Linked DNA regions of Ovis aries. The protein of the gene in region 4 interacts with the protein of the main gene of each other region in a pairwise test. Links are inferred from orthologs where the notes say so. Each region holds a gene or a part of one and is shown on either strand. Other genes may lie near its edges.

Evidence for each region.
Region 1: the proteins of E3 ubiquitin-protein ligase TRIM69 (region 4) and IYD interact in binary tests that used the Homo sapiens proteins (3 or more experiments, as listed by UniProt). The two-hybrid records come from large-scale screens. The link is inferred for Ovis aries from reciprocal best matches to the Homo sapiens genes TRIM69 and IYD.
Region 2: the proteins of E3 ubiquitin-protein ligase TRIM69 (region 4) and ASNS interact in binary tests that used the Homo sapiens proteins (3 or more experiments, as listed by UniProt). The two-hybrid records come from large-scale screens. The link is inferred for Ovis aries from reciprocal best matches to the Homo sapiens genes TRIM69 and ASNS.
Region 3: the proteins of E3 ubiquitin-protein ligase TRIM69 (region 4) and FAM110A interact in binary tests that used the Homo sapiens proteins (3 or more experiments, as listed by UniProt). The two-hybrid records come from large-scale screens. The link is inferred for Ovis aries from reciprocal best matches to the Homo sapiens genes TRIM69 and FAM110A.
Region 5: the proteins of E3 ubiquitin-protein ligase TRIM69 (region 4) and NEK8 interact in binary tests that used the Homo sapiens proteins (3 or more experiments, as listed by UniProt). The two-hybrid records come from large-scale screens. The link is inferred for Ovis aries from reciprocal best matches to the Homo sapiens genes TRIM69 and NEK8.

What each region holds. Positions count from the first base shown.
Region 1 is NC_056061.1:75,315,507-75,320,543, forward strand, and holds the start of IYD (iodotyrosine deiodinase 1), read left to right. Parts: upstream 1-1,730; 5' UTR 1,731-1,755; coding exon 1,756-1,927; intron 1,928-5,037. UniProt on the Homo sapiens protein: Catalyzes the dehalogenation of halotyrosines such as 3-bromo-L-tyrosine, 3-chloro-L-tyrosine, 3-iodo-L-tyrosine and 3,5-diiodo-L-tyrosine.
Region 2 is NC_056057.1:16,017,053-16,022,253, forward strand, and holds the start of ASNS (asparagine synthetase [glutamine-hydrolyzing]), read right to left. Parts: upstream 3,308-5,201; 5' UTR 2,952-3,307; intron 2,375-2,951; 5' UTR 2,301-2,374; intron 1-2,300. Other genes in the region: C1GALT1 (glycoprotein-N-acetylgalactosamine 3-beta-galactosyltransferase 1), read left to right, coding at 3,698-3,704.
Region 3 is NC_056066.1:59,933,018-59,937,930, reverse strand, and holds the start of FAM110A (protein FAM110A), read left to right. Parts: upstream 1-1,606; 5' UTR 1,607-4,913.
Region 4 is NC_056060.1:101,155,541-101,160,458, forward strand, and holds the start of E3 ubiquitin-protein ligase TRIM69, read left to right. Parts: upstream 1-1,908; 5' UTR 1,909-4,383; coding exon 4,384-4,752; intron 4,753-4,918. Other genes in the region: E3 ubiquitin-protein ligase TRIM69-like, read left to right, coding at 449-975, 1,757-1,908.
Region 5 is NC_056064.1:20,098,190-20,103,238, forward strand, and holds the start of NEK8 (serine/threonine-protein kinase Nek8), read left to right. Parts: upstream 1-1,742; 5' UTR 1,743-1,781; coding exon 1,782-1,828; exon of another isoform or gene 1,829-2,454; intron 2,455-3,913; coding exon 3,914-4,119; intron 4,120-4,343; coding exon 4,344-4,576; intron 4,577-4,811; coding exon 4,812-4,943; intron 4,944-5,049. UniProt on the Homo sapiens protein: Required for renal tubular integrity. May regulate local cytoskeletal structure in kidney tubule epithelial cells. May regulate ciliary biogenesis through targeting of proteins to the cilia.

The DNA.
Region 1 (5,037 bases), on a different chromosome or scaffold from region 4:
GGATTCAAGGATGGGGATCATTAGATTCAGCACCAGCGCTGGAAGTAAAGACTCATATGTGTGTCTTGGGAAAATGTGTTCTCTAGAGTAAAGATGTTCACAGTGTGGTCTGCAGACTGACCAATCCATCCACTCTTGATCACCAGTCATGAAATGAGACATGAGCACACAGTAGAATGGAAATTCAGGCAAAGTAACCATGTCACTACACTACACACTGTCTAGGTCAGCTGACTTTTTTTTTTGTAGCAGAGTTTCTCAAGGAAGGGAGAGTGTGTAGATTAGATTCTGGTGCAGGCTCCCTCAATTGCACTGTCCCAGGTCACACTGAGTTTGTTGAGACAGTAGAAGCTATGTCCTCCGTGGGGTCTTGTCCTGTCTCAGATGGAATAAGGGACCAGGCATACTTGTCTATTATAGCACTTATTGCACTGTATTGTAATGGTCTTTTTGTAAATGTAACATTTATTTAGTGTCTATTTTTTAAGTATAAAAATACATGTGCTGTGCCGAGTGCTCAGTTGTATCTGACTCTTTGCGACTCCATAGACTGTAGCCCTCCAGGCTCCACTGTCCATGGGATTTTTCAGGCAAGGATGATGGCGTGGATTACCATTCCCTTCTCCAGAGGATCTTCCCAATCCAGGGATCAAACCTGCATCTGCTGCATTGCAAGCAGATTTATTACCTGCTGAGCCATTGCAGAAGCCCCCATAAAAATATATAGTACCTGCTAGCGATTCATGGGGTTGCAAAGAGCTGGACACGACTGAGCAATTGAACCATGAAAAAGAATGACGTTCTGATCCGTATTAAAACATGGATGAATCTTGAAGGCTTTCGGCTAAGTGAAACAAGCCATTCACAAGAAGACAAATACTGTATGAGTCCACTTACAGAAGGTTCCTAGGACAGTCAGAATCATAACGTAGGAAGTGGGTTTGAGGTAACCAGGGCCTGTGGGAAGAGAAAGTGGGGAATTACTGCTTCACGGTTAGAGGGTTCCTGATTGGGATGATTAAGCAGTTTTTGGAAGAGTGGTGGTGGGTTTACAACACTGTGAATGTACTTACTGTCATTGAACTAGAGCCTTAAAAAGAGCTAGGATAGTACATTTTATATTATTATATCTTATCACAATAAAAAAGTAGAAATAGTAAAAAATAGTACATGCTGGTTGAAAAGAATTCAAATTATATATATATATATATATATATATATATATATATGGCAAAATGTGCACGAGAGGCCTGAGATAGCCAATCCTTTGCCCAGTCTCTAAAACCACAGGAAAACATCCCAGATTTGGGAACCGCTCAAAACGGAAATGGAGGTTGGTTCAAAGGGGCCAACACTAAGTGACTCCTGGCATCAGGCCAGTCGAAGACACATTGCTCTCAGAGAAAATCTACAGGAGAAAGATGAAATACCTTCCACCATGGCTGGCAAGGTCTAGTGCTTTAAAGTATATCCTCAAATCCTGGCAATGATTGTCTAAGAATACATTGATTGAGCACAGAGTTTACAAAAGTGCACTCACCCATGCATTGCCAGACCCACAACACACCCTGATGCACACAGCTGCGATCTTTGCTCCTTGGCAAAGTCCTCGTGGAGTCAGCAGGTTCACTGTCCCTTCCTCAAGCAAACCCCTCCCTCTCTTCACTCATCTCCCAGCGTTCCCCACACCTGTCCCTGTTTGTTTAAACCCCAGCCTGGGAAGTATGGACACCCTTCAGGATCAGTCTCACCACCATGCTTCTTCTGACTCCAGTCTTGGTAGCCATCGTCTGCATTTTGATGGTGTGGATCTTTAAAAATGCTGATGGGAGCAGTGACAGAAAGAAGGGGGAGCCTAGGGCTGAGGCTCATCCCTGGGTAGATAAAGACTTGAAAGACAGCACCGATGTCCACCAGGAGGAAGCAGGTAAAGACACTGGCTCTGCCACTTGGTTCCCATCTTCTGTATTTTTACGATGAGGGCAAGTGGCTGGTGGGGCTTATGGAGAGAAATAAGTGCAGGCAGGTCAGTTTTATCATCAACTTCTATTGTGCAAACAAATTAGTGTGTGACGGAGACATCATTTCTCTTGGGTGTCAGCTTGTCGTTTGCTGTGACCAAGTAAAAAGCTGGATCATCAGTAAAAAACACTGTTGAAGGGCTGGCTTTCCCCAGCTCCTGTCCTGACTGGCTGCTAAAATCTTTCTGCAGGGGGCACATCACAGGCTGGTGTGGCCATGAGATAAGCAGTCAGGTTTTGATCAAAAATTTGAAATAAAAAAAAGGGCAGCTGTGTAAGTGCTCACTACTACTCATTATAGCAGCCCTGTGGGTTACAGACAAGAGTGGCTGTGGTCCTCAAAGCTGAGTGTCTGATTCAGTAGACAAGGCAATGAATGGACAACTGAAAGAGAGTAAAAAAGAGACAGGTGGAACTGATGATAAGGTGTTTGGAGAAGGCTCAGGATCTTGGCAAGGCATTACAGAAGGGCTGAACCAGGCCAGGTGGATTACTAGAATATGAATAGTAAGGGTGAGAAGGTTAAGGGGAACAGAAGGAGCCTGAATACAGAACTGCTAGGAAAGATGCTGAGAAGACGGAAGGACTATGCTGACCAGGGAAGGGGCGAAAATGAAGTTGGATGTTGAGGATGGGCGGGGGCATGGTTGACCCAAGGAAGACAAGATGATGAAGGAGGCAGGCAGGCAGGGAGAGGTTTTGGGGAGCTCTGAGTGATCTGTGTTTGGGGTGGGTCTGAGGAGGTTCTGTGGGCTGGATTTGACTTGGAAGAGGCTCAGTGACTCTCAGCTGGGGTAGTAATGGCACCAGCTCAGTTCAATTGCTCAGTCGTGTCCGATTCTTTGCGACCCCATGGACTGCAGCATGTCAGGCCTCCCTGTTCATCACCTACTCCAGGAGTTTACTCACACTCATGTCCCTTGAGTTGGTGATGCCATCCAACCATCTCATCATCTGTTGTCCCCTTCTCCTCCCACCTTCAATCTTTCCCAGCATCAGGGTCTTTTCAAATGAGTCAGTTCTTCACATCAGGTAGCCAAGGTATTGGAATTTCAGCTTCAACATCAGTCCTTCCAGTGAATATTCAGGACTGATTTCCTTTAGGATGGACTGGTTGGCTCTCCTTGCTGTCCAAGGGACACTCAAGAGTCTTCTCCAACACCACAGTTCAAAACAATCAATTCTTTGGTGTACAGCTTTCTTTATAATCAACTCTCACATCAATACATGACTACTGTAAAAACCAAAGCTTTGACTAGATGGACCTTTGTTGGCAGAGTAATGTCTCTGCTTTTTAATACGCTGTCTAGATTGGTCATAACTTTTCTTCCAAGGAGCAGACATCTTTTAATTTCATGGCTGCAGTCATTATCTGCAGTGATTTTGCAGTCCCCTCTCAAAAAAAATAAATAAATAAATAAATAAAGCTCCACCCTCCCTTCAAAAGAGGCCACCTGGAAGTATATGTGTGCATATGTGTATAAGTGTGTGTGTGTGTTTTGAGTTGTCCTAACCTTAGGATTCGGGAGTGGGGTACAAAGCTGGCAATCCATGCTGGAAGCCATGTAGCACTGGCTATACCATGTACACTGAGTATACCACACAGGGTCCAAGCCCAGGCAGCCTCCTAGCAGGGCTATCTCTCACTCTCCTCCCTGGATGCCAACTATGCCAGCTGAGAAGCACTTTCCTGAATGAGGGGAGATCCACTTTGAAGCTGGGTAAGGATCTGCTCCGGTAACAATGGGCAGGGTGGTGGGGATAGCGTGATGCAAGAGAAGAGGTGGATCCAAGGGACAGTCAAGGAAGAACAATGGGCTCTGGCAATAAGTTAGCTGCTGGGAGAGGAAGAGGAGGGCAATGATTTAGAGGCTGGAAGAATCAGAACAACACTGTCATAAGCAGGTGAGGGGAGGGGACCCGGTTTAAAGGGGAAGCTGTTGAGTGTAATGCAGGGTGTGTTGGGCTTGAAGGAACAGTGGGACATTGAAGCAGAAAGATAGGCAGGTTTCTAGGTGAGAGATCTAGGCCACAGACACTGATTGGAGAGTCACTAGCTTAAGGTGATGCTTGGAAGTTGAGGAAAAAATGAATTCACTAGAGGGTATTGCTAAAGAGAAGGCTGAGGAGAGAACCTGGTGAGGAGCACATTCAGATGAGAGGAACTGCCTGGGAGGAATGGACTTGGAAGAAAAGGTGTAGGGAAGAAGGGCCAGGTTAGTAACAAGCCCTTCCAGGTATTTTCTATATCCAAGGTCATTTTTACATAGGGTGACTCATAACAATACAGGGAGCAGGCACTATTATCATCCCTAGATTACAGATAAGGAAGCTGAGCTCAGATCATCTAAATCATCTGTCCAAGCAGCTAGTGGTGGAGCCAGGACCCAGCGGGGGCTGGCTCCAGAGTCCCAGGTCTACAAAGAAGGCTTTTCCAGGCTTTTCCAAAGAATGATCCAGAACAGAGCAGGCAGGAGATGGCCCACAGAGTTAAACGTTTCCTGAGAGATCAGAAGTAGTGTGTGCATTGAGAAAAACCCACTGGCTTTGAAGACCCAAGGGTTGAAGGGATACAGAGGGATCAATGTGGCTGGTGGGGAACCAGGGACCTGGGACCAGGGACCTGCGCCTGATGGTTGGGACCAGATACCAGAGCTGTGCGGCCCCGTTCTGCTTCTCTGCCTGTTGATTCACTTCTCATTCTCTATTCTTTACAAGGAGGAATAAAGTGAACATGTAGCACCTGCCTCAGCAACCACGAGCAAATTTTCCCCAAGTGTAGACTTCACAGTCTCTTGTTGGGATTTTTCTTGTCTACATAAGAGATACTTACTGAGGTCACACGGGCACACAGGTGATAAGCAGGGCTAATGTTTAAACTCCATCTCCTCTGGCACTCAAGTCCCTGCTCTTAACCACTGGGTGGGTGGACACAGTCTAAGAGAGGATACCCTGCCAGTACTGAGGCTCCGATGCAGGTATAATTGGAGAGGAGAAGGCTACCATTGCTTGCCTG
Region 2 (5,201 bases), on a different chromosome or scaffold from region 4:
AAGGATCTGCTCCCAAATTCACTCACGTGGCTGTTTTCAGGAGCTCTCAGTTCCTCACTGACTGTTGGCCTTAGTTATTCACAACATGGGCCTCTCTCTAAGTTGCTGAGTGTCCTTACGACATGACAATTACCTTTCCCCAGTGAGCAATCCCAGAGAGAGCAAGCAGAAAGCTGGCACATATATAGTCTCCACTTAGAAGTCACATCACAACGTTTCTACATTCTCTTTATGAGAACAAGTCACTAAGTTCAGTCCAAATTCTAGGTGAGGGGAATTAAGCTCAATTTTTGAAAGAAGTATCAAAGAACTTGTGAACATATTTTAAAACTACTATACCAGTAGTTTTAATTTAATTTATAAATTCAATTTATATTAAATTCTAAATAATTTATAGTTTTAGAAGTTTAGTTGCTCAATCATGTCCAACTCTCCGCGACCCCATGGACTGTAGCCTACCACGATCCTCCGTCCATGGGACTTTCCAGGCAAAAGTACAGGAGTGGGGTGCCATTTCCTTCTCCAGAGGATCTTCCCGACCTAGGGATCGAATCCAGGTCTCCCACATTGTAGGCAGATGCTTTTACCGTCTGAGCCACCAAGGAAGTCCATTTAATCTATACATTATTATATAAATATAATTTATAGAATTTAACCTAATTATTACTAAAGAGTTGTTAATCTAATTGTAATATTTGGATATTTAAAGGAAAACTAAGTTTATTAGAGAGTCGTTTTTTGCTGTTGCTTGTTTCCATTTTTTGTTCCCATTTTCATCTTACCCTGTTTATTAAAAAATTCTACCTAGAGCACTAAATAAATCATGATTTTTCCTATCTTTTTATGCCAATTAGGAATTTTATTCAGTGCTTATAACAAAAAACAACAAAAACCTTAAAGAAAATGGATTTATTTTCCTTCATATAACAACAAACCCCTTTATATAACAATAAACCCAGAAGTGAGCAGACCAGGGCTGATAAGCTGACCCTTCAAAGCAATCACAAGCCAGTCCCTTTGGCTATGCTACTATTTTGTTACTGTGGTTGAAACAGGGCTGCTCCACATCTAGCATCATATCACTGTTCCAGGTAAGATAAAGGACAGGTATAGGTCCAATGGCTAACAGAAAGTTTCTTCCATAAAACTTTGAGCCTCTATGAGTAACATCTACTTTCATTCTATTGATAGGTCACATGGGAAACCATGGCTTATAGGAGCCTGAGTAAACAAGTATTTTTAACTGGACACAGTCGCCCCGAAAAAAAGTCAAGAGTTCTCCAAGTAATAGAGAAGGGATTTTGGTTTAATCAGCTATCAGTGTCTATCACTTTGCTCCAAGGCGCTTGGACACACATTCCTGAAACACACTCCAGAGAGACAAACACACTGTTCAAGGTTAATCTGTGTTTCAAATGGGAAAATCTGGTCATTTTGCATCTCACATATAAATCATATTTTTCAAAGTAACCACAGCTTTCTTTTTTTCTAGTTAATAATGAAGAAAAATTGGCTGACATTAATGTCACTTCAAGGAATTTATTCAAGAAGACAGCGGTACAGTTGTGCAACGGTACATGCATTAAGAAACTCATCACAGAGTTGTTTAAAACAGTAAGCATTTGGGGAAAAAAACAGAAATGAGCCAATAGAATACCGGTTAGATAAACAATGGTACGTCCACTTCACACTAGGCAACTTTTAAAAATGATGTTATTCACGATATATTGTTCATGAAAAAAGAACTGTGTACATGATAAAATCCAGTTTATCATACATTGTATTTCTATACCTTTATATGTTTTTATTCTTAGAGACGTCTGGAACATAACATGAATTTTAAAAAATTGTTCTCTCTGAATTATGACATTTGGAAATTTTTTATATTTGTTTCAATAAGTGTACATTGCTTTCATGAAAATAATAGCTATTTCCAATAATACCTAGAAGGGTAGGAGGGGCCTGATTTGACGTGGTAGTTCTATCAACATACCTCTATGCCACTAAGAAAATTATCTTAGACATGCTGTAGCTGAGCTTACCCTTGGAAGGGTTTCCTGTATTTGCTCACTGGAAAAAGATTATTTCTTATTCCTTATAAATTTTAATAAAATTAAAATAAGAATCCTGAAGCATTTTGTTTTATTTTGCTTTCTATTTGGTACACTTTGACCTCGAAGGGTCTCTTTTCCCTGTCTCACAGTGGCTGTGGAAGACAAAGAGGGTGAGGCTGATCAATAATTATATACAGGTTGGGGGAGAGAGAACAGATGGAGGTGAGGATCCAACAGAGCACTAACCTGGATATCACATACTTGCACTTCTCTTCCAAAACAGGCTTCTCAGTTTATCTTTCTGACCTCAGTTTTCTCATCTGAAAAAATGACAGGTTTGGATAAGAATCTAGATGTTTTAAAGTTCTTCCCAAAGATTCTTTCGGATTTATTAATGATATATCCTGGTAAACTACACTAAAGCTGAATCTAGACACATAAAAGGAAACAACAACAATACTTTAGTTACATTGTTTATTATTCCTCTCCAGCGTGGTAACCAACTTGCCAAGGTTACACAGCTAATAGGTGGCGGGAATCAAGATTCCAGCCCAGAGGCCAAGGCACTTAAGAACTGCCTAGGAAGCAGGGTAGTTTTCTCACCCTCAAACTAGGCTTTGTTAGATACCACCAGTAAAGTCAGACTTGATCCCACCTCCTGACTGCTGTGGGACTGCCTCAATCGCTCGAGGGCTCCTCGCTCTCTAATCCCAAAACAGTTTTCTGATACAACTTTGCCAACTAAAGGTGAGACGGTGAGGTTTTGGAGAGCTCCGAAGAAACTTCGGGCCACTGCCTGGCAGTGGAGAAGTTATCACAGAACCAAAGACCATGTGTGCCTTCAGGAGGCTTTGTGGTAGCATTAATTGGGTTCTCAGCCCCTGCTCATTCACATACCTGGTTATCCAACACTCGTTTGCGTACCTCATCTTGCGTGTTTCCTCTCCTTAAGGCCAGAGAGGTACTGAGTTGAGAGTCGGGAGGAGGGGATAACAGGGGTAAAAAGAACAGTTTAAAAGCAGGCTAGAGGCCATAAGACTCCTGAAAGGGAAGAGCCTGTCTCTTGGACAAAGGTCCCAAGGGTATTTGCAGCCCTGGTCCCTGATGTTTCACTGCTTTGGGCCCTCTCAAGGTCCGGAAGCTAGTGCAAGACCCTTCAGCAACGCGAGGAAGGTGGAGGCCGCCACCGAGGTGCCGCAAGCGGGCTGTGACTACCCCTCATAGAAGATCCGACTTCCCAGACCCCTTCGCACAAGGGCGGGGCGTGCGCTCGGCCGCCAATCCCCGCGCCCGCACGTCGCCGTAGCCCCGCCCCACCCTGCCCCCTCTCGCTCCGCCCTTCCCTGGGGCTGGTGCGGCGGCGATGACGTCAGCGCTAGGAGACCCCTGGGTGGCGGCTGCGCCGTCGGCGGCCCGCGGCCGGAACGCGCTGCGGGGAGGGGCGGAGCGAGCGGGCGGGAGCGCGCGCTGGGCCCGCCTCGGCCGCCGCCGCCGCCGCTGCCGGGGAATAATCTGGGCGGCAGCGGGCGGCCCCGGCCAGCAGCCACGAGCCACTTCTGCGGCTGCCGAGCAGAGCGAAGGTCGCCGGTCTCGTGTCGTCGCCCTCTCCGCCCCCCTGGAGGGGCGAGAGGGAGCCGAGGCTGATGTCAGGTACGGCCGGCGGAGGCGCCCTCAGGCTGTGGGTCCAAGGTCTCGGGTCCCCTCGCCCTTCCCTCTGGGAGAGGGAATGTGGGGGGAGCGTGGAGGGTGGAACCCCACCCCTGGCGCCGCCAAACAGGTGTCTCGGAGTCGCTGCCGGGTCTGGGGACGTGCGGGCTCCTGAGGGGCGCGCGGGGCACTTCCTGCTCCCGGCGTCTCCGCGAACTGCCAGTGGGGCCGCCTGCCCGCCGGGCCGCTATTTTGTTGACATGTAACCTCCTGTTAGTCGCAGGTCCTTCCCTTTCGCTCTCTGGTGCCCCTCGCCTCTTCGCGCGCCGCCTGCCGTCGGGTGGCGACGGTGAGGCGCGGGCTGCGCTCCGGACCGCGCGGCTGGACCACTTAGCGGTCCTGCCCCGCCGGGCCCTCCCCCCGCGGAGCTGCGGGCGCTCAGGTGTGGGCACCTTCCAGGAGAGCCGCCGGGCTGCCGCGTCGCGCCAGCGCCCAGCGAGCCGGAGCCTTGCGCAAGTGCTGGGGGACTTCCTCTGAGCTCTCTGGATCATCAGGTTTGTCTGGCTGATTTGTTCTTTTTAAATTCCCCTGCCCCTGACAGAATAAGCTAGGCAGGTGTGTTGGGGCATTGCTCCGTGAAGGACGCGGGACGAGTTTTTTCCTTCCCGCCTTCCTCTCCCGCCAGGTGCGATGGGATTAGTAGATGCTGACAAATTGACTTTACAGCTTTGAATTTGGATACATTGCCTGCTCAGAAAATGAACGAAATGTGGATGTGGGGATTTATTCTTGCCCAGCACTTACCCTCTCTCTTTATTATTATTTTCAAAAGACTGGAATTTAAACATCACAGGCCTTGGAAAAGTTGACTGGATTTATAATCTGATTCTCTCAGTGCCTTGTAGTTATTGTGGTATATCGTTTTAGAGCTTTTCAGATTGAACCCTATGATCCTAACCATGAATTTGTTTCATCCTGGTTTTAAAGCTTAGTTAAAAAGTTAGAACTTTAATGCAATAGAGTGAGTAATTAGGCCAATGTGAAACAGACAGAAATGTGTTCATTTACCAGAAATTGGGCACTGATAGATAGCTCTGCCTGGGTAACTTCAAGTTATTTAATTCTGGTGTTAGTTTAGAGGGTGGGAATCTGAGTATTTAGGAGGTAAAACTAACTTTTTACACTTTTATCAGATAAATGTCAAATGAGCCTTATGTACATGATGTGTGTTCTAAGTATTGTGTATCATAATTGTATTTATTTCATTTTTTGCCAGCCTTAGTGTATAGTAATGTACAGTTTAATTGAATGTAAAGTTTCAAGCTACCAAACAGTTAACTCTTTTTACCATATGTTAAGTGAGACAGTGATTTAGTAAGGAAAGTATGACTCACTTAAAATTCTTCACAGGAAAAGTGTGTGGTTTTTTAGTTACGGTGGATAACTATTAGATGTTTCTCTTAAATTTCCCTGAAATTTGTGTTTTTCTGTATCTTTTTA
Region 3 (4,913 bases), on a different chromosome or scaffold from region 4:
CCTGATGTTGGGAAAGACTGAGGGCAGGAGGAGAACAGGACGACAGAGGATGAGATGGTTGGATGGCATCACTGACTCAATGGACACAGGTTTGGGTGGACTCCAGGAGTTGGTGATGGACAGGGACGCCTGGTGTGCTGCGGTTCATGGGGTCGCAAAGAGTCAGGCACAACTGAGCAACTGAACTGAACTGAACTGAAATATGTGCATTGTGCTCAGTCCTGTCTGACTCTTTGCAGTACCATGAACTATAGCCCTCCAGGCTCCTCTGCCCATGGAATTTTCCAGGCAAGAATACTAGAGTATTCTTTCTCCTTCTCCAGGAGACCTTCCTGACCCAGGGATCAAACCTGTGTCTCCTGCATTGGCAGGCAGATTTTTTTACCACTAGGGCCACCTGGGAAGTCCATTACGTAAATATAGTACATGTGATATTACCATTATGTATTTAATGCATATTTGTGTTGTACATAGTGCTTTGAAACATACTTTTGAAAAATTCAATCTTTCTTAGTGCTAAATATATTTTAATCATATCATTTTTAATGACTGTATAATATTCCTCAGCAAAAAGTGAGGATATTTAAAGGTACTTATCAGAGGGTTATGCCATGAGCAGTGATGAGAGTTTTGTCATGCAAAGCTTCTGGTATATATAAAAACCTCAATAAATTCAGTTCTTCCGCAGGATGGATTTATATAACCAATTTCCTTTCACTGAGCACTTAAGTTATTTTCATTATTTTGCCATGATAAAGAACGCAGGGCATATTAATCTTCGCTCACATCCTTAGTAAATTTCGGGACTGCTGGGCATGCCCATCTTCACACTAACTTGCTCAGCATTGAGCAGTTAGAGGAACAGACAGGAAAACTGGCTTGCACTGGTTCACATAGCCTGTCAGCTGAAGTCAGGACTGCTGCTGCTGCTGCTAAGTCGCTTCAGTCGTGTCCGACTCTGTGCGACCCCAGAGACGGCGGCCCATCAGGCTCCCCCGTCCCTGGGATTCTCCAGGCAAGAACGCTGGAGTGGGTTGCCATTTCCTTCTCCAATGCATGAAAGTGAAAAGTGAAAGTGAAGTCGCTCAGTCGTGTCCGACTCTTAGCGACCCCTTGGGCCCACCAGGGTCCTCCGTCCATCAGCTAAGTCCCGGGTGAACAAGAGAAAGAATTAGCCGCTTGAGCTAAAGGGGCTGCTCAAAGAACCTGAGACCACCGGGAAGCTGAAGGGCGGGGAGGGACTGAGAAGGCAGGGCGCTCCCACGCCAGGCCGAAGCTAAGCCGTTGCCTGGCAATGCGGGCGGCGCGGAGTTCGAACGGAAGCGAGAAACCAATCAGGATGTCCGGGGCAAACCATTCTGGTGTCGGGGAGGGGGGTGAAGCGACGCGCTCATTTCCCCTTCCCCCGGTGCCCCGGGGTTTTCGCTTCCCCTCTGTGCCCCCAGACCTTCGCTCTGTCTGGGACCTTGGGACAGTCAGGTTCTCCGGCTTATCTCGGGTGCGGAGCACAGCTCCGAAGAGGCCCCCGCGGGTCCTCACGTGGGGCTTGGGCCTCCCGAGCCGTGTTGGGTGCGGCCATTCCCCGCCTGACTGGGTCCGAGCTGTCAGCCTCCTCAAGACCCACACTGGAGGAGCGGGACTCGCCTAGGCGAGGCTCCTTGTGAGGGCACGGGTGGTCCGGGGCGCGAACCCGGGTGTAAGGGGGCGCTGTATTCACCCCTGCGGTGCGTGTTCTCTCCGAGTCCTACGAGGGTACCCCATTTCACAGATGAGAACGCTGAGGCTCAGAAAGACGAAGTCTGGCAGAGAATCTGATTCAGATCTTTCTGCTCCATCTCGCAGTCTCTAGCATAATAGTTCTAGATTTGCCTTGAGAGACCCTGACAGGTAACTGGTGGTCGCTTTCTTAGCCTCTGATCAACAGGAGCATGAGAGCCCTGGCTGCATCCGCTCCAGGCTGCCTCTCCCCAGCGTCGGCCTGGGGTCTTCTCCCCACCATCTGTCTTCATTTCTCCAGAAAGCCAGGGGTGGACTTGGGGCTCACTTGAGATCCTTCAGCTTGCAGGGCTCTGAATTACAGAGCTCTCCCTCTCAGAGAGAAGATACGGGTGGCTCAGGCAGGACTGACATTTCTGAGCTAGGTGCCAGGTGGGGAGCAGATGCTTTGGCCCTGGAATTGCTGTAGGACTCTTGGGAATCTACTGCGGGTTGGGCAAAAGGGTAGGCACAGCCCTCAGCCAAAGACGCTAGTCACCAGAGACACTGGACTTGGTCCTGGGCCCAGGACCGCTCCTGGTAGAGCATCTGACCTACACCAGGCCTTACCTCCTGGGGAACCCCCTCCCCACCTGCTGGTTGCTATGGGTTTCCTTTCGTAGGTGGGCAAACTGAGGTTCTAAAAAGTTAAGCCCCTTTGCCCAAAACCACATGGTCAGACTTGGCAACTCTGGGGCTGGTTCCCAATCTGTCTGGCTTCCATCTTAGAATCCTAGACACTCAGAATTGTAGCATCTGGGAGTCTAGAATCTCTTCAAGGGGAATTATTTATCCTCTCTCCTCCAAACCAGTCTCCTGGCTTTAAAGGGAGCAGAGCTCTGGAAATTCAGAAAGAAAACAAGTCTTCATTCTTTCAACAAATATTTACTCACTTCATATGCTCTGCCTTGTCTATTTTGTTTTTCTCAGTAGCATTTACCCCATCCAATGTCCTATAATTTCACTTATTAGCGAGTTTATTATCTTCCCGGACTGGAATGTGTTGCAGGGAAGGGTTAGGGTGAGGTAAATGAGGTAATCGCCTCCAGTGTGAAACTGAGGGGTGCCCAAAGCCCTAGGAATCAAAATGACTAATGCTAACATTTATTGATCATTTTTGTGTGTTCTGCTGGTGGGAGATCAACTCCCTGGATCACAGTCCCTCATCTCTGTCACAATTACACATGCACCCCCTGACCTAGCTGTCCCACTTCTGGGCAGAATGATATAGGTGCAGTGAGCCCACAGTGTGGGGTTTTTGGGTTTTTTAAGGCTCTGCCTGAGAACTCTTTTATTTATTTGTTTATTTTTGGCTGGGCTGGGTGTTCGTTGCTGCCTGGGCTTTCTCTAGTTGCAGGCTTATCATTGTGGTGGCTTTTCTTGCTGTGGATCATGGGCTCTAGAACTTGGAGGCTTCTTTTGTTGTGGCCTAGTTGCTCCATGGCACGTGGGATCTTCTACCAGGGGTAGAAGCCATGTCCCCTGCATTGGCAGGCAGATTCTTAACCACTGGCCCACCAGGGAAGTCCCACAGTGTGGTTTTTAATAGAGACTAGACACACGCTCAGTGGCCATTGGTAGGGACTGATGGGCTCTTTATGTAGTACAACATATATTATTTTGTTAATAACATTATAATTAATAACATGCTAATAACATATTAAGAACATATATTATTCAATGAAAGAATAAATGAAAACAATGCACAGAACATGTTGCTATGTGTAAAAAAAATAGAATATATGTCCATTGTTGCTTGTATGTGCCTGAAATCTCCCTGGAAGGACATATAACCATCTGATCATAATGATTCTTGCAGGGAGGGGAACTGGGTGGCTGGGGATAGGAGTGGAGGGAGGTGTTTTTCTTTTTTTAATTTCCTTTACAGCTTATGAATCTTAAGCCATGCACATGTATCACCTGGTTGAAAAAATATGTGTGTATTATAGATTGTTTATCTAATCATGAGACCACTGCCCTGTCTATGATCTGTCATTAACTTTCTTGTGACTTTGGACAAGGTTCTTGACATCTCTGCGCCGAGAAAAGAAGCCATGATGGTGCGCTTCGGCCCAGGCAGAGGGCAGTCCGGGACAGGAAGTGGGCTTGGTTGTGGGTCTGTCCCAACTCCACCTTCCGCATCCTGTGTGCCAGGCCCTTCCCTAAGGCTTTGCGCGCAGTATCTCTCTTAGTCTGCACTGCGAGTCCCTTTGTCCTCATTTGGCAAGCTCAGGTGCAGACCTGAGGCCCAGAGGACTGAGTTGGTGGAGGTGTGCAGTTGGTGGGCCAAACGGGAGATTGCTGCCTTAGGCAGCTGCACCCACACCGCTTCTGTGGCCTGTTTACCTTTCTCTTCCTGAGGTTTGTGCAAGGTTGCCCTGGGCAAGGCTGACTGCAGGCAGGCCAGGGCACGAACATCTGGGAAAACTCCAGAAATAGTGTGGGGCCTGGCGTGGGCCTGGAGGATGCCCAGCTGGGTGTCTCTGGCCCTGGCAGCTGTCCTGGAGTCTTCTGCTGCCTGGAGCCTTCCTGGCTCCCTCTGGGGCAGGAGAGGGCCTCTCTGTCTCCACCGAAGTCTGGGCTGGACTTCTGCTAAGGAAAAGGAGAAGCAGGTGGAAGGGAGGGGTGAGGTGGAAGTGCACAATGTCATAAAAATGATAAACATCAGAAACCACACCTCCTGCCCCCTCAGCAAAGAATAGAAATCACTGACACCTCTTGATCCCTTACTGTGTGCTAAGTAATTTACAAGTGTGAACTCCTTCAATTCTGTCAATTCTATGACGTAAGGTAGTTACTGCTGTTATTTCCTCCTTATGAAGGGAAACTGAGCACAAGAGATGTTTAATATCTTGCACCTAGAGCTGGATTGGAATCCCAGGTGTCTGGCTTCAGACTAAACCTTCTTATTCTTTTTTTTTTTTAATGTATGTATTAATAAAATGCAGTTTACCATTTTAATCATTTTTAAGTGTACAGTCTAGTCGCATTACGTTCATTACAGTGTTGTGCAACCATTGCTAATGGAAACTCCATACCCAGTGAATAGTAACTCCTTGCTCTCTTCACTCTCCCACCCCGGCAGTCACTGTTCTTCTTTCTGCCTCTATGAATCCAACTACTTGAGGAACCTCATATAAGTGGAATCAGGCAGTATT
Region 4 (4,918 bases):
CCCTTATGATTCTACATTTTCTGTAAAATGTTCTTTCTGGAGTGTGTTTTTTAAAAAGGAAGGGTGAAGGGCCTGGATGATATTATGGTTGATGACATGGCATTGACTGAGGAATCTGACTGATCTTCCAATTCTTTGCACATGACTTCTAGAAAACAAAATGAAAGGTAATAACTAATAGAACAGATGTTTAAAGTAAAACTTTCGACTGATATAAGGAGAAAGGGAGTGGAAGAAGTGATATACAATGAAATACATTTTTTGATTGGGTGCTCTTTCGTCTTCTGCCTTGGTTCTCTATTAAGTCTAATAATGCTGGGAGTAGAATGAGCTCTGATGTTAGAGAACACTGAGTTTACTGATCACTTTCAGAGAAGAGACGATAGTGCTTTTCCTCTGGCTGCACCAGTTCTCAGCTCCTTTAGGAACAGAGCCCACTACCCTGAAGTGGGCAACAAGAAAGAGAAACTCATTTTAGCTGTTCTTTTTCAAAGGTATCTTCCAACCTCTCCTCCAAAACTGACTCAGACAGCTACGCTGAAGTGAATGATGTGATCACCCAAATATCCTCCAAAGTGCAGATACAAGATATTACTACGGAATTACACTGCCCATTGTGTAATGACTGGTTTTGTGATCCACTAATGCTAAGCTGTGGCCACAACTTCTGCCAATCTTGTATCCAAAAGTTTTGGAAGCAGCAAGCAAATGAAACATTCTGTCCTGAGTGTAAGATGTTATGTCAATACAGCAACTGTACTTTTAATCTTGTACTGGAGAAGCTGGTAGAGAAGATTAAGAAGCTACCCCTGCTCAAGGGCCATCCACGGTGCCCAGAGCATGGAGAGAACCTGAAACTGTTCAGTAAGCCAGATGGGAGACTAATATGCTTTCAATGCAAAGATGCTCGATTGTCTGTAGGGCAGTCTAAAGAATTCCTGCAGATCTCTGATGCTGTCCGTTTCTTCACGGTGGGTGAGCCCTGGGTCTTGAACAGTCTTGAGCAATTCCTTAGGAAGGCTGGGAAAAACTGTTGGACTTCTTCTTTCAATACCACCCCTCATTCAAGTGATTATTAGAAAGCTCAGAGTGCTCAAAAAATACAACGTATCTTGCAAAGTTCTTTCTCTGTAGTTGTCAATTATAGGGAAGCAGTAAAGGAGCTCTGGCCTACTTCCTCAATCAATCAAACATTTACCTGAACCTTGCCTTGACAGCATTCTACTAGGCACTGTACAGAACATGGACATGTAAAATAATGCTTTTGTTACTGAAGTCTTGAAATGCAGTCAAGTTTAAAGTGAACAAAACAACAGAAGGGATATAAGACAGTCTACTGTTGAGAGCTAAATTTTTGTCACATTTGTTTCAGAGATTAGAGAAAACTGAAATAGTCAGGGGAGGCATGGTGAAAGAAAGCTTGAAGGGGGGGCAATTATTTGAATTTGGATGGGTAGAAGGAAGAAACGAGTGTTCTGAGAACAATGTAAGTAAAAGTAGAGATAGCAAGAACAGTGTAAATATAGTAGAAAGTGTACAGAGTTCTGTTATCTTCCTCAAAGCCCTGTAGTTAGCTAAGAAGAAGATAAAACTTAGTTTTTCTGCAGTTTGTAATTTTCTTCACAATTTTTGGAAGAGACAGGAATTATCATATAAGGGAAAAGGAAACTTTTGTAGTGGGAGCTTGCTTTCTTTCCCCCTGACACCCTGGGGCTTTGGGGTAGATGTTCTTCATGGCCCTTCATCTCCCAATTAGCATGGGTTAATTCTTTATGGTATCCCCAGGAGGAGCTTACCATCCATCAGGGTCAACTGGAGGCAGCCCGGAAGGAGCTTCTGTCCCTGAAGAATATGCAGAAGGATGCTATCGCTGCTCACAAGGTGAGGAGCAGGGTAGAGGGGTCATGAGACAGAACTGGACTTGTACCCTCCTTGTAACTTCAGCTATGTGGGTGGAAAGGTACCTTTACATATACAACAACATGCTAAATGGCATCTGGCCTTAGAAGTAGAAAACAGACACTGTAGAGTGGAAAGAAATACGGCAGTGGAGTAGGTTCCCAATAGCTGATCAACAGAGAGAGCAGACTGACCTTTCCCCTAGATAAGCTGATCCTTTTCATGGTGCAGTCCCTAGGTGATTGCTCTGGGGCTGTGATCTGTCTGATCTTTCCTATTATCTATCGTAAAATAAGGAATTCATTTTTAAAAAATCCACTAAAGATTGTGATGTTCAAAGAAATAACTTTCTTTCCTTTGGGCTTAAAACCAGGCCTCTCTGAACCAAGGTCTCTTAGACTGCTGGCTTTTCTCTGTGATCTAATCCTTCTTAGCTTCTCCCAAACTAAATAAAACTACTGCTTATACTTTCAACTTCACAGGAGCTCTAGGGCAACATTAATGGTTAGGGACTTGGCAAATCAGTTCCTAGGCTGGGGGAATAATTTGGGAGTTCTGTTTCTTCATTAATTATCCTACAGAGGAGAGTCTTCTCTGGCATTTGGCATCTGGAAGAAGAAACAAATATAATGAGGGAAAGAAGAAGGCTAGATGGAAATAAAGATGTCTCAAGAGAATCGTGTTCCTGTTGTAAGAGTTCTTAGTTCAGCTATTACAGTCAACACTCATTCATTCAACAAATATTTGAGTGGTGCAGCATTATGCTAGATATTGTATTCCAACTATGGTGGGAGACAGATGTTAATTAAATAATCCCACCAATAATGAAACATCACTGTGATAATTACTATAAATGATTATATACAGTATATTAGAGTATATAAATGGAGAGCCTAATCTAGACTGAAGAGGTCACTTATTAAAAATTGAAATTAAAAATTCTTATTAAAAATTGAGAATTGAAAGGATAAGTATTATCTTTAGCCAAGTGAACTGGGTGAGGGGAATATGAAGGAAATGGCCTGTAGAATGTTCTATGAAGAGGAAAGAGCGTTATAGAAAAGTTCTTGAGACAGGAAGCTAGTTACTATGTTAAACAGAAAGAAGGCCAATTAAGATGGATCTTGGTAGGCGAGTTGAGACCAAAAAGGCAGATAAGGCCCAATCATGTAGGCCCTTGTAGATAATGTCATGAATTTTGAATTTTATTCTGTGCATAATTGAGAAGTCATTAAAGGGTTTAAACAGGACGGTCTCATCTCATTTTGAAAGCATCAGTCTGGTGGCTGTGTGGAGTGTGGACTGGAGAAAGGCAATAAGAAGGATAACGGTTAGAAGAAGACTACTGAGGTGGTCCCAGAGAACGATGATGGCTTGGACTAAAATGGCAGTAGAGACCGAAAGAAATAAACGGCTTTAACATATGCTTTGGAAAGAAAAACTGCCTGCATGTGGTGACCGATTAGATGTGAGAGGCGAGTGGTGATATCAAATGGACAACCGGATGTATGGACCTGGAGTTGAGAAGCTGGTCTAGGCTGAAAATAAGAGGTCAGCGTACAGACTGCACTTCAAAGTTGTGAGAGCAGAGGCTATTACCGAGAACGAGAGTGTAGAATGAGAAAGGGAAAGAGCCTAGGACAGAGTATCAAGTAATTTAATATTCAAAGCTTGGTTAGAGACACAACTAACAAATGAGACTGAGAAATAGCGGTGAAATAGGTAACAGGAAAAATGGAAATGTCTGACCTAGAGGACAGTGAGAGTTAAGACTATTTTAAAGAGTACAATTACAGTGCTTGACCACAGACTATAAGCTGGATAAGAGGGGACATGAAGACAGAGAAGCTGAAGAACAGAAACGGAGGGTCAATGAATAGGAGGATTCTATGAAATCCAATAACTGCTGCAACAGTGGAACCTGGGTAAGCAAACATAAAAAGTAATTCTGGGGATGGTACAATTGCCGAGGAAGATAAAACCCTCAATGTGACTAAAAGAATGAGTAGATATAGGTAAAAATCACTAGAAATGATGATGAGGAACTGAGAAGCCAGGATGCCAGATGGCTTGCCCATGAGGAAGCTGAAGTCACCTAGGGAAAGAGCTGCCAGTGTAACGGTTACCGATTTCAAGTGCTGCAGACACCACCCATCTCTGGCTTCTTTTGTATTGTCCTGGCAGCAGGAATGGTGCCTCCTCCGTTCTGATTTCTTGAAAAAGGGCAGTTCTTCCAGCCTCCTCTGGACCCAGTCTAACAGCATCCCTTGGTAGATACTGGTTTGTACTTGTGGATAAAAGGGTATTATTGTTCATTTAAAAGTGTTCGATTAACCCCACAGTCTTATTTAAGATGGCATTGGTTACCACCTCAGTTTTGCAACAGGAACCTAGACATGACTTTTGACTATTCCAACCCTAACTATTAAACTAGCTGGGAAAGACAGAGTAAGTTTCCCAAAGGCCTCCTTTTAGTACAGTTGGATGTTGATATGCAGTGTTTGCATGCGTTTTCCTGTTATGGTATTTCCCAAGTTGTGGGAGTGCTGGTGGTGTGGGCCCCCATCCCTAAATGCTAGTCTCAGTAATTACCATGGTGATGATCATGGAGGTTTCCAGGAAAACAAGCTACATCTGCAGCAACACATCTCCCTGGAGTTTCTAAAGCTGCATCAGTTCCTGCACAGCAAAGAAAAGGACCTTTTAAGTGAGCTCCGAGAAGAGGGGAAAGCCTTGAATGAGGAGATGGAGCTGAATCTGAGCCACATTCAGGAACAGTGTCTCCTAGCCAAGGAGATGTTGGTGAGCATCCAGGGACGGATGGAGCAGCAGAACCCCTTCGACTTTCTCAAAGTGAGACTCCACACCGACATGACTATGGGTACAACAGAGGGGGGAAGAGAGGGTTGGAAAGAATGTACAAGCAGATTTTCCCTTCCAGGAGGGTAAAAAATTCTGCTGTAGTGATTTTAAGATTCCCTGGGAGAAAAGCAGAAGGTTCCTTTTGCCTTAGACTCAA
Region 5 (5,049 bases), on a different chromosome or scaffold from region 4:
GCCTATCCTCACCATGGCGCGGGATCCCCTCCCACCGCCAAAGAAAAGAGGTGATTGTTTTGGGTGGAGAGTTAGCCAGACTCCGCAAACAGAAGGGCGGTGGAGAGCTGGGGGTGGGGCGGAGGGGGCGGAGGTGCTGTGAGTGGGAAGAAATATCAGAAGCCTTGAGGCGCCAAGAGGTTTGGTTGTTTGCTCTGTTTCCCCTGCTGACTCCAAGGTTACACATTAAGCCCTCTGGGGCTCCTTGGTCAACCCAGGCCTGATCGGTTTCTAGGTGAGAGCATGGAGTGTCCCGGCTGAGCGGTTTTCCCCCTTGCGCTCCCCTTTGCTCTCAGGGCAGCTTTGTCCGCCAGCCACACCGGCCTGAGCCAGACGGGGATTTCGGGGTGGGGGGGAGGGGGCTGCGTCATGAGGGGCCCTTCTAGTGGTCATCCCGCGTGGATAAGTTTGGGCACCCTTTCAAGGAGCAGAGTAGGAGCTGAAGATAAACACCCCTTTTCTCACATTCCTCGCCTACTCAGAAATAGGGACGCTGTCCCTTAGCTCATCACCATCCTTCCTGCTTCCTTAACTGAGCTTTTATGGAGCTATGGAGCTCGTGAAGAGCTGGAGGCGCCATGGAGAGACCTGAAATTGAACACACTTCTGATCAAGACCTTAAACAATTGTACTAACCAGCCCCCTACCTCTGGGCAGAACCCTTGAACTCCTATCAGCCGAACGACTATCTTTCTCCCTCTCCCCGATTCTTTCAGGTAGCAGTCCACTTCCCTCCCATCTTCTCCCAAGGAGGTCCTCTCTAGTTGAGTGTTGAAGTCAGATTACTCTGCTGCAGCGGCAAGTGTTGTATGTGTGCTCTGGGAAATTGAGAGTGTTGACGAACGCAGAGCTCACCAGTCGGGACAGTCCGGAAACCGTCTTGCGTCCTCCCTAGGTGAATCAACTTATACAGCTCAGGGTTTCCCGGGGCCCTCCCTTGGCAAACACGAAACTAGCCTTGCACCCTGCCCACAGACCGAGAGCGCTGACTCGGTTCAGTTTTGGTAGTTGATCGTTTGCGTGCTAATGAGAATCTGCCCTGTACTTCGAAAACAGAGTGATTAGTGGGCAAAGCGGAGAAGGCAATGGTACCCCACTCCAGTACTCTTGCCTGGAAAATCACATGGACGGAGGAGCCTTGTAGGCTGCAGTCCATGGGGTCGCTGAGTTGGACATGGCTGAGCGACTTCACTTTCACTTTTCACTTTCAGGCATCGGAGAAGGAAATGGCAACCCACTCCAATGTTCTTGCCTGGAGAATCCCAGGGACGGGGGAGCCTGGTGGGCTGCCGTCTATGGGGTCGCACAGAGTCGGACAAGACTGAAGCGACTTAGCAGCAGCAGCAGCAGTGGGCAAAGACTGGGGCAGAAAGAGATCCGTCCTTTCTTCCCACCCTCTCTTGGCCTGCGCGGGGAAACCCTCCGGTCTAAGGAAGAACTGCAAGGGCAGGATGCGGCCACGTGTGTAGGCAGCGGCTGGTACAGTGCTGACCTTTGCGGGGCGTGCCAAGAAATGGCATATCGCCCTATTCTTTGGACCCTAGAAGGCCAACTGCGGATCCGGACTGCAGGAAGTGCCCAAATGAGCAGAGACAAATAACAGGCTGAACCAACACCTAGCTCCACTAGCTCCGCCCCGTAATTATCTTGAATGGCAGTGGGCGTGGTTCTAGAGAGGGCGGGTCCGCGCACGCGCTGCCTTTGGGTTTGGGGGTTCCGGAATTGTGACTCTGAGAAATGAGATGGAGAAGTACGAGCGGATCCGAGTGGTGGGCAGAGGTGCCTTCGGGTGAGCCAGGGCTCTGGGGGAGGAAAGTGCTTGGGGAGAGGGAAAATCAGCCCCCTAATTCTGACCTCAAAATCGCAGCCCGTGTAGCCCCGCCCCGAGGCGTGAGTGCCCACTCCGGGAAGCCCCTCCCGGCTTCCGGTTCTAGTCCTGGTTGGGAAACTCCGCCTCCAAGGAGGTCACGCCCCCGGCCGGCCTTCGCGGCCCCCGCAGAGTTTGTTCTTTTATCCTGACTCATTCATTCAACAAATGCTGAGCGGCTGCTATACTCGTCAGGCTTTTGGTGCTGGGTATATAGTAAAGACCCAAACAGGCGTGGTCTTGTCCCTCTTGGAGCTTACATGCTACCGGAAAAATATCCTATAAACAGAACATTGTTAAAGCAGTGATTAACAAACTGTGAGAATAGAGCACAACACGAGGGAGTGTTCATTTGGGATGGTTAAGGAAAAGTTCTCTGAGAGGTGAAATTGAAAATCAAAACTTGAGGAATGAGGATCGATACGTAGTGAAAAAAGCAAAGCTTCTCAGGCGAAGGAAACAGCTTTTGCTAACGTCCTCACGTGGGAAAGAATTCAGAGTATTCAAGGAACTGAGAAGACTAATGTCATTGGAATGTAATGGGCAAGGTAAATAATGGAATAAAATGTGATTGTCACAGAGGGCGGGAACCAGATTATGGCCTTGTGTGTGTGCGCATGCATGCTAAGTCACTTTAGTTGTGTTCCACCCTGGCGACCCCATGGACTGTGGCCCTCCAGGCTCCTCTGTTCATGGATTCTCCAGGCAAGAATACTGGAGTAGGTTGCCATGCCTTCCTTCAGGGGATCTTCCAGACCCAGGGATCCAACCCCCGAAGCTAACTCCTGCATCTCCTGAGTTGCAGGCAGATTCTTTACTGCTGAGCCACCTGGGAAGTCCCTATGGCCTTGTAGGCAGAAGTAAAGAAGTTGAATTTATTTACTTAGGGTGTCAAGGAAAAGAGATTTAAGCAAAGGAATGGTCTTGATTTGATTTGCATTTTTACAATGTCACTGACTCTGCTAGTGGAATTTAGATTTGAGGTGACAACAGTGAAAAGGACCATTTGAAGTCTAGTGTAGTATTTTAGGCAAGAAATGATGATTTGGTCAAGGATTATAGCAGAAGACAGAGAAAAATGGATGAGTTCACAATATTTTGGAGGTAGTAGAAACAGCATTTACAGATATGTTACTGTGAAATGGAAGAAAAATTCTGGCATGATTTTCGGGTGTCTGACTTTAATAACTAGTGGATGGTGTTACCATTTATTGAGACAGGAGGAACTGAGGAAGGAAAGGTTTTGAGGTCAGGGATCAAGAGTTTTGTATTTGTTACATTTTAGAATGCTTGTGGGCCATTCAGGTAGAGATACAAAACAGATAGTTGAATATGTAAGTCTGAGGCTCAGAGATGTCTGAGCTGGGGATAGACATTTGATACTTAGACAATCCTTGATTCAGCAGATACTTGTAGAGCTCTTACTAAGTGCTGGGGTGTGCACTAGGCTATGCACTGGGGCTATAGTGGTGAAGGAGAAAGAACAAAACCCTGCTTTTATGAACACTGACTACAGAGTTGGGAGAAAATAATATAATGAATGGCTCCTGCTCACTGAGTATTTTTGATGTGCCAGGCGGTGTGCTAAGTGCAGAACTTGCATTTTCTTACTTGACCCTCTCAACTACCTTGTGAGATCGACCCTATTTTTTCCAGAACCTGATGTCACATAATTTAAGACCAGATAACTTGTAAGAGGAGGAGCCAAGATTTGAACCCAGGCAGTTAACTCCAGAGTCTGTGGGGACTTACTGAGACCAAGACTAACTTTACCTCATTGAGACTATGGTGAAACCGAGTCCCAGATAAGTTAAAAGACTTGCCAAAGGTCTCGCACAGTTTGTGGTCTGTTCTCCCTACTCCTCACTCGTGTTCTGTGCACTTACTTAGATGACTTCTTAGTGTAGGTGCTGATTCCCCCATCCTAAGAAACATCCCGTCGCCAGCCTGACCTGCTTGATATGTGGCTGGAGACTCAGTCCCTACTCCTGTACTCCGTGTCCTCAGGATTGTTCATCTGTGCTTGCGCAAAGCTGACCAGAAGCTGGTGATCATCAAGCAGATCCCCGTGGAGCAGATGACCAAGGAGGAGCGGCAGGCAGCCCAGAACGAATGCCAGGTGCTCAAGCTGCTCAACCATCCCAACGTCATTGAGTACTACGAGAACTTCCTGGAGGACAAGGCCCTCATGATCGCCATGGAGTACGCACCAGGTGGGACAGCCTTCTTGCATTGGCCTGAGGGCCTCTCGCCACTGGGACAACCCCGCTTCCCTCTCTGGAGTGGGCGTGGCTGAGGGTCCAAGGTATATAGAGTTCTGACCCCAGGGGTGTGACACCGGCAGACCTTCTTTGCCCTGTCTGAGCCTTTAGTTTCATAAAAGGAAAGACTCAAGCACAGAGAAGCCTAGGTCTTGATGAGTTCCCTGTGGCTGCAGGCGGCACCCTGGCCGAGTTCATCCAGAAGCGCTGTAACTCTCTGCTGGAGGAGGAGACCATCCTGCACTTCTTTGTGCAGATCCTGCTGGCACTGCATCACGTCCACAGCCACCTCATCCTGCACCGGGACCTTAAAACCCAAAACATCCTTCTCGATAAACACCGCATGGTCGTCAAGATCGGCGACTTTGGCATCTCCAAGATCCTTAGCAGCAAGAGCAAGGCCTACACGGTGCCTGGTGCAGAGGGACCCTCAAGGGTGCTGGGGGTTTTGGGGGGCCAGATCTACTTGGCATCTCTGTCTCCATCCCTGCATCCCCAAGATCTTGGCCCCTGGGTCCCTGGCTGGGTGGTCCCGCAGGAGGAAACACTTTGGCCTGCTTTGGAGGGACGCTGTCTCTAAGTGGTCTTTGGGGCTGGATCCTTGGTCCTCCCACCCCAGCTGTAATAGCAGCCCCCTCCTGCAGGTGGTGGGTACTCCCTGCTACATTTCCCCTGAACTGTGTGAGGGCAAGCCCTACAACCAGAAGAGTGACATCTGGGCCCTGGGCTGTGTCCTCTATGAGCTGGCCAGCCTCAAGAGGGCCTTCGAGGCTGCGGTGAGTAAGTCCCCTGAAGGGGAACAGCTGGGAAATCCCTCCCTCTGTCTCCTGAAGTCCGTGGCCCCAAGCACCATTATGTCTCTCTCTCCAGGCTGGTAGACTA